Rattus norvegicus: one gene and its partner. The protein of the gene in region 2 purifies or fractionates together with the protein of the main gene of each other region. This does not show direct contact. Links are inferred from orthologs where the notes say so. Each region holds a gene or a part of one and is shown on either strand. Other genes may lie near its edges. The genes, in order: Vapa and Pitpnm3.

Region 1 (3,807 bases), on a different chromosome or scaffold from region 2:
TATAATAAAAATGTTAAAAATGAGAGGTCACTAATGATTACTTGGTTTAAGTGCTAAGAGCCAACTTGAAAGGTCTAATAAGGGGTTGGGGATTTAGCTCAGTGGTAGAGCGCTTGCCTAGGAAGCACAAGGCCCTGGGTTCAGTCCCCAGCTCCGAAAAAAAGAACAAAAAAAAAAAAAAAAAAAAAAAAAGAAAGAAAGAAAGAAAGGAAGGTCTAATAAACCAATCTAAGAAGAAGAATGTAGGGACTAAGCCTGACTGGTGGTAATCCCAGTTAGGAGACAGAGGCAATGCAGATCTCAATTTGAGGCCAGCCTGATCTACAGAGTGAGTTCCAAGTCACCAGGGTTATACAGAGAAACTCTGTCTTAAAAAACAAAAGTAGTAGTAATAGTAATAATAACTACTACTATTATTATTAATATCCCCAAATCACTTTTACAGTAATGTCAATCAAGATAAATTTATCTTTGGTTGTTAAATACAAAAAGCAATGGAAGCTATTATCTTTGGAGCCAGCACAGATAAACAGGGAAACTAACATATAAAGTCTAAACACTGTACTTCTTACTCTGGCAATTATGGTTCTGATTCACTTTAAAAAGATGTGTTGAAGGGGTTGGGGATTTAGCTCAGTGGTAGAGCACTTGCCTAGCAAGCGCAAGGCCCTGGGTTCGGTCCCCAGCTCCGGAAAAAAAAAAAAAAAAAAAAAAAAAAGATGTGTTGAAAACTTAAGTCATTTACTGGTCAATACCTAACTAACGTTTATGAGCATTTTTATTTCAGCTTTCTTATCAAGAAATATAGTTTACTCTGAATAGAGCAAACAAGTTACCAGATCAAAGCAAGAGTCATACCAGACTATAACCAAATTATACCAATTACATTTACCCACAGTATTTTATACATTTCAATCCACACAAAAACTTTGTTCTATAGTCCCTCCTACAAACCACAGAAAAAATGAAAAATCCTTGGGTTTGGAGAGATGGCTACTCTTCTTCCACAAGGCCTGGGGTTCCATTGCCAGCACCCACCCATGGCAATTCAAAAGCATTGAAACCTATGCCCTCTCTGGTCTCTGAGGGCACCACACAAGCACAGATATACATAAAGGCAAAGCAACCATACACATAAAATAAAATACTTTTAAAAATTTTTTAATTTATATTATATAGAGCATAGGCCACTGGTCTGCTACAAAAACATATCTATCCTTCAGCCCCCCCAAATATGTAGTTGCTTAATGCTAATCAATAAGCAATTATTCACTAAAAAATAAAATTGATTTTGATCAGAAGACAAAAATATGCAAAGTGTTTGGCAAAGGCTAAACTGGGGGGAAGATGACTTATCCCTGTAAATTATATATTTTAGTCCAAGAATATTGATGATTACCCAAAAAGAAGCCCTGATTTTATAGCTGTATCTGCATATGCATGTCTTATTCTTTAAGAAAAAGGATAAAGACATGATTTCAGAATTTGAGAGCATTCTCAGAAATTCTTTCCACACTGAAATTTGGACCTACCGTGTAATATTTACTTCTTCTTGGGCAAACAAAATATCATAAATTGGAAATAGCATTATCAAGCTTTTTACGTCTCATAAAATGACCAGGCACTACAAGCCCAGTGTCAGAGGCTGATGACCGACCAAGGTTTCTTTCTTACTCACCAGCTTATCGTTTTCATTCGGCATCTCAAATACACATCTCAGTTTAGAATCCATTAGTTCGTCAGGTTTTGCCTCTTTCCACTAAAAGGAAAAAGAAACAAAACAAAAATCCAAAGATGAGAAAAGAGAGCATGTGGCACTCAGGTCTCACCAGAGGGGACAACTGAAGCCTGGGAACGGTGGCTTAGACAACGGCCCCGTCAGGAAGCGAAAGCTCGGCTGCTGCTGGCTGGAGTTGACTGCAGGTCGCCTACAATCATGTACCAGTGTCTCTGCCATCACCATCAATTAAAGCCACACTGACACTGGGCCCAGGAAGGCAAGGGTACTGCTGCCACCCTGGTGGCCTGAGTCCATCCTAGGAGCCACACTGTGTGGTAGACAGACTGGGAGGCCAGCCTGACCCAGCTGACCTCTGACCCACAGAATGCAATGGAAGGCAACACACACGAGTCTTCTTCACCTTAGTGTTTCTAAATGGTTCCCAAGGAACAGTATTTCAGGCTTGGTGGGCCATGCATGCCTTCCAGCTCTGTGATGGAAGACGCAGAGGCAAGAGGATCTCTCTTAAGTTCAAAGTCAGCCTTGGTCTACAAAGTTCCAGAACAGGCAGAATCATGTCTTCCTTTTTTTTTTTTGGGGGGGCGGGGGGGTGTCAAAAAACTAAAAGGCTTTTTAATTGTTTAAATTTTAATTTTGTTCTGATAATTAATTTTTGGCAAGGAAGTCAGGATTGTTGAGAGTTAAACAAAACAAATTTAAACCACAGCTCCAAAAATACAACTTCTACACTTACCACAGCTTCCATATCTGAAATGTTTGGTGGAGCAAAAATTGTCTGTACCATGAACTTATGTTTACTCTTTTCGTTCGGATCATAGTCAAAGGGCTGCAGCATTACTAAACAAAGAGAGAGGGCACATGATCACCACCACAGCAACACACAAGCGTAATAGCAAGATGGGGTCAAACTCAAACGTAGTAGTCTCAAGATGCACAAGCCACGTTATAACTTTCAATTATTAGTAAATTCATTTTCTGCTGATTCTAATTTGGATAACTGAAACACTTTTAATATAACCCATTTTTAAACTGGATTTTAAACAATTACTTAGAATGTGTTCATTTGTTTAAATCTAATTTTAAGAAAACAAAGAAAGTCATTAACTCCTTGACAATTAGACCGAACCCAGGGCCTTACGCCTCCTAGGTAAGCGCTCTACCACTGAGCTAAATCCCCAGCCCCAGGCATACATTTTTTTAAGCAAAGGCCTCAAAACACTTCTGTGGATGTACAGAACATGATTCAATCACAAAACAGTGCCATTTCAAAGATGAGTAAGAATACAGACTACGGTGGAAAGACAGTTATGGAAACAGAGACTAGATGATGCTTCAGACTGACAGTAACTAATCACACCCACACACAAGCTCAGAGTAGGAAAGTTTCAGTAAAATTTTATATGGCAGATACCCAAGGAAAACCTTTAGACAAAAACTGAAGCCAAACAATAAACAGATAAAAATGTCAATATTCAAAACTGCATTAGTGTAGGACATAACTGCTACCTGAGACAGTCACGATTGACCCTGGGTCAATAACCCCACTGTTGGGCCGCACGCAGTACCGGCGGGGCGCTGTGGTCTTCACTTTGAAACACACTTTTCTGTCCGATGGATTCTGCAATTTAAGATTTGTAGTGACTACATCTGTGAAGGGGCCTGTAAGGTAAGGGGCAGAGGAAAAGAAAATTAACTGGATTCACAAAAGCATTATTTTGGTGATTTCATCCACAAAGTAACTATGATTTTAGGTTTTTAATTTTGGTTACATTTATTTATTGTTGCTTGTGTGTTGCACGTATGAACACGTGTCATGGTTATCTACACGGAGATCAGAAGAAACTTTTTAGAACCAGTGTTCTCCTTTCATTATGTGGGGTCCAGAAACCAAACTCCATCCCTCAGGCTTGGCAACAAGCATCTCCATCCAATGAGCCATCCTGTCAGCCAAAACTGTCCTCATGTTCCTACCACATCACATGACTGACAGTCCCCAGTGGTCGTCACCAGTGCTGATCTTTGAGCTCACAAGGCCATACAAAACCAAACCCTGACAGTACTCACTG
Region 2 (4,472 bases):
AACCACTGCACTACAGTTCCAATATGGGGGAGCGCTCCAGGGTTAGAGGTGGAAAGGGGTACCCATGCCCTTCCTGCCAGTAGCCTGAGCTGGTGAACAGCTTTGAATTCATGACTTTGGGGGCTTCTCAACTTCCATGTCTACAGGATGTGTTGCTGTCCCACTCTGGAGTCCTTGGGACTAAAGGGTTTCCTGAAAGGTGAGACAGTCAGTCATAGTTAAAACTAAGATGGACAATGTTTGTCAAAGCCTGGTGGCTAGCACATCGGCCTGCACAGAGGATCCTAGGAAACCCTGGTTTGGTAGGTGAGGCATCAGAAGGCAAGGAGAGGCCCATGAGTACAGGATAGTCTTCTGCTGAGGTGAAGAACATTTTTGCTGTTAGCTCTGTGCAATAATAGTTTTGAAAATGCTCTTGGCTGAGGGACTGAGCCTTTGATAGAATCAAGAGGGAGTGAGTGTAAGGGCTGGTTAACAAAGATAGGCCGAAGGAGTCTAAGCCCAGAAGTGGGCGTGTCCACGGAGACCCCTTGTGTGCTTTCTTTCTATGGGGCAGTGGATGGGACACTAAAGTCCTGGCTGGCCCAGGGTGCTTGGCTGCATACTGTGGGAGAAAAACAGGCTTCAGGGAAGGCACAAGAGTCCTCTGAGGAGCCTAGCCCTCCCTCTAGCCGACAGCAGGGAGGAAGTGGCCTAGCCTGGAACTGGGCTAGGAGAGGACTATTCTCTCCAGGATCCTCCTACCTTCTAGGCCCCCTAGAAATGACTGACCATCTTCTGTGGATCCCCTGACTGCAGTGGGCAGAAACAATGAAATTTAAATGTCTCAGGAGGTCTGTTAACTAGAATGTCTGCACTTCTGTGAGAAAAGTATTAGGGGGACACTGCTTTCTGCCAGGCCCCCCATAAATCCTGCTCAGCGTGACCTGGCAGGTGGGGTTTGCAGGTTTAACAGGTCCTTTGGTGCTAAAGGACAAAAGCTTTTCTCTTTTGAGACTAGAGCAGATCCAAGCATCCAGCACCCCTAGAGTTGGAAGCTGATGGAGAAGACCCCTCACGAACCAAGCGAGACTTCGTTCTAGGTTTCTCGGTCTCTTGGGTCCTGGTCTTCCTTGCTCTCTCACTCTGTCCTCACGGACTCTATCTAGCCAGCTCCGATTTCCTTGAATTTTTCTCTCTCCCCCAAGGGTGTTTCTGCCCTAGGAGTGTGTCTTTCGGGTGCGGTGCCTCAGGGTCACTGCGCCCTAGGCTCGCCGTCCATATCTCCATCCCTGCCCGGCCCGCTAGCGTCTCCGAGCTGTAATCCCCAGTCTGTCTACGTCTGTCTTTCCCCGAGGGTCGTGGTCTCAGTGGCCGCAGTCAGTGGGCTGTGCCTCCCGCGCGCTGCGGTGGCCGCGCGGCTCGGGCGGGGGTGCGGGCCCGCGGGGGCGGTGTCGGGCGCCTTCCGTCGTCAGTCCCTCCCCGGCGGCGCGGAGGGGGGAGCGGCGCGGCCGCCGCTCGGCTCCTTTAAGGGAGCGGGAGGGAGCGGCGAGGCGGCGGCGGTTGCGGTGGAGGCGGCCGAGCGAGCGGGGCGGGGGCGCGGGGCGCGGCGCCCGGAGAGTCCGCTCCGGCCGAAGGCGCCGGGGCCGGGCCGGGAGCGAGCAGCGCCGGCAGCACAGCGGAGCCCGCCGCCCGGGACATGGCTAAGGCGGGCAGCGCAGGTGAGCGCGGCACGGGGCGCGCGGCGGGTGGCGGGAGGAATCGCTCGGCCCAGGTGAGCCCCCCCACCAGATGGGCGGAGGCAAAGTGACCTCGGCGACCCGCCCGGACCCTGGGCGTGTAGAAGGGGCTCCGCGCGCCCTGCGTCCTTCCCGCGCCCCCAGTCACCTCGCGGGACACCGCATCCCGCTTGCCCCGCTACATTGGGTCAGGTCTGCGGCTCCTCAGTCCAGTCGGCAGTTGTGAGCTGTCGCTGCCCTCCGGGAGACCGGGGGAGTAGATCCCGGCACCGGAACCCAAAGGGGATGTCCCGTGGCCACCGACCCATCCCACGCCCAACAAACCAGGACGCGCCCCCTTGTCCTGTCACTCTGCCTGGATGCGACAGTCCCCTGCCCCTGCCACCAGCTGGGTCAGGAGACCCAGATTACTGGTCCCACCGCTGGAGGGGTACTCTGTGGTTGGGGAGCCGCCCCGCCCCCCACCCGACCCAGAGGCAGTGCCTCAGGTGCCAGGCTAGGCAGGCCGGGCCTGTGTGGGGGGGTCCCATGGGCTCTGCTCTTCTGCAAGCTCAGAGCTGTAGCCCAAGGTTCGCAGGGAGTAGGCTCTGGTCGTCCCTTCATTCATCCAGCCAGGCGTTCATTCACCAGCATCTGCTCTGATGTCAGGCCCTGTGAGTTGGCTAGGACCTGGAGGGGATCAGATTTAGCCCCCAACTCGCCGCTCTGGCCCTGGGCCCCAAGAGTGCCCTAAAAGGCCAAGTTGAGGAAAAGCCTGTGTTACAGGGCTGGCCACAAATGGGTGAGGCTGGTCTCAACAGCCGTGAGCCTGGGAGCTGGCGTGTGAGACTCTGCCATGAACTCACACCCAACCTGTGACGCCGGGCAGGTGCCATGCCATCCCTGTGGGGCCTGGTGTGAACCCACTTCCCCACCCATAGACACTGTAAAGATGGAGTGAACATGGTCACCTGCTTACACTCTAGCTGTGAGTGCCGTTGAGCTCCCGTGGCCCTGGGACAGGTCCCAATCCTTGGCATGCACTGGCCTTGTGACTCAGGTGCCTGCTATTACAGAGGAATCCTGTCAGGGAGAGGCTGCTTGTGTGAGACAGCATAACCAAATGCATCTGAACACCCCCTTTCCCACTCCCCTCCCCTCCCCTCCCGAGGGAGGCACAGTGAGATGACACCGGGAGGCTGGAAAAGGCTCTCTGCTCCCTTCTTTCTCCCACCTTGGTCCCTCCCCACCCCTGCTCTTCATAAAGAAAGAGCATCGTGTCTTTGCTGCCCATTCTACATGTGTTCGTGTGTAGGCACAGGTCTCTTGCCAGAGCACCACAGTAGCAACAGTAGTTAGAGAAATCTCTTCTTGACCTGTGTACTAAGTAATGAAAGCCCTCAAGCCCTTTACTGCCCCACGATCCTGAGAAGTAGGAAGGCACTCCCCTTTTTAAAACCCTTGGAAGCAAATAGCTCCCTGAGGGCAGCTGGGAGGGTCTAGGCAGAGCCTGGACGCAAGGCCAAGTTTTTTCTACTCCCCTCCTCTTCATTCTGGGAGAGAGGCAGCCCCAGGTCCTAGGCATTGGCTGTTGCTGAGGTCCATGGAAGGTGAAGACATTGCCGGGCCTCCCAGCTGCCTGAAGCTACTCTACAACTTTTCCATTTCACACTCTCAGTCCTTTCCCTCAGGGCAAGCCAGACTTCCCTCCTCTGTGACCACCTGCTTGGTGCCTCTGTCCCTTACTCAGCTGCTACCCACAAGGAGCTCTGCAGATGACCTCTGGCAAGATCTGACCACTCTTCCCTTCTCAACTCCTCTGGGCAACTTGACAGCCTGCACACATCCCTTCTTTCCTTTAGCTGCCTCAAACCCAGTGACTTGAAAACACACAGTGTGGAGGAATGTCTACTCTCTCTCAGCAAGCACGTTTATGTTGAATCATAGACTTAAGCTTTACAACAGAGGCGGCCGAGGGCTTCTATTCATAGTTGGGGAAACCGAGGCCCGAGAGAGAAAGATGGCAGTTCAGTACCATACACAGACTAAAAGGCAGAAGGATCAGCCCTCCACACTGAGAGGTGAGACTGGAATAAAGGGGGGTTGTAGGGAATCTTGCCCATGAGTGAGGGGGTCTGCTTCCTGATTTGTGTGGGATTTCCTCTGAAAACTGGCCAGGGGCCCAGCTGCTGAGCGAGGAGATGGGCTTTGGGTCCTGGGGCTGTTGTACCCGACTCCAGGCTGTACACAGTAGAGTTCCAGCACCACCATCCCAGCACGATGAATGGTGATGCTGGAGTGGTACAGTGTACATCCTGAGCAGCCAGCCAAGGCTGTGCCAGCTGTGCCAGGAAGGCAGTTCAAGGACTTTCATGTAGCTAGGAGAATCCAGGCACACGAGAAAATGTAATCAGATCCAAGGAAGGATGAGATTAATTTGCAGAGTGGGTCCAACTTGATTATTACCAGTCTTCGAGCTTTGGGGCAATCTCAGCTGCACAGAAATCAGGAGTTTGCCATCTCCAATACTGGAAAGGAAGAATGCTCCTTGGTCTTGCTGTGTGGACAAAAGAAGACAGGATGAAAACCAGAGAAGGAGGTGGGGAGGAGAACAGGACTGGAACTCTGTAAAGGAAATGGTCATTTTCTGCACAGAGCTGCCCGTGGCCAGGGAAGCAGCAGGTTGGAGCAGCAAAGGCTGGGTTCTCTGCCTGGATCTTTAAGCCTAGCTGAGGTTAGACAGAATGGTGGCAAGGACCAGGCTTCCTGGTTCTG

What was found.
Region 1: the proteins of Pitpnm3 (region 2) and Vapa purify together in Homo sapiens (co-immunoprecipitation; 3 studies listed by BioGRID and IntAct, with this or other methods). This does not show direct contact. The link is inferred for Rattus norvegicus from reciprocal best matches to the Homo sapiens genes PITPNM3 and VAPA.

The regions. Positions count from the first base shown.
Region 1 is NC_086027.1:112,634,048-112,637,854, forward strand, and holds part of Vapa (vesicle-associated membrane protein-associated protein A), read right to left. Parts: intron 3,401-3,807; coding exon 3,248-3,400; intron 2,579-3,247; coding exon 2,475-2,578; intron 1,760-2,474; coding exon 1,679-1,759; intron 1-1,678. UniProt on the Homo sapiens protein: Endoplasmic reticulum (ER)-anchored protein that mediates the formation of contact sites between the ER and endosomes via interaction with FFAT motif-containing proteins such as STARD3 or WDR44.
Region 2 is NC_086028.1:57,262,122-57,266,593, reverse strand, and holds the start of Pitpnm3 (membrane-associated phosphatidylinositol transfer protein 3), read left to right. Parts: upstream 1-1,407; 5' UTR 1,408-1,678; coding exon 1,679-1,700; intron 1,701-4,472. UniProt on the Homo sapiens protein: Catalyzes the transfer of phosphatidylinositol and phosphatidylcholine between membranes (in vitro). Binds calcium ions.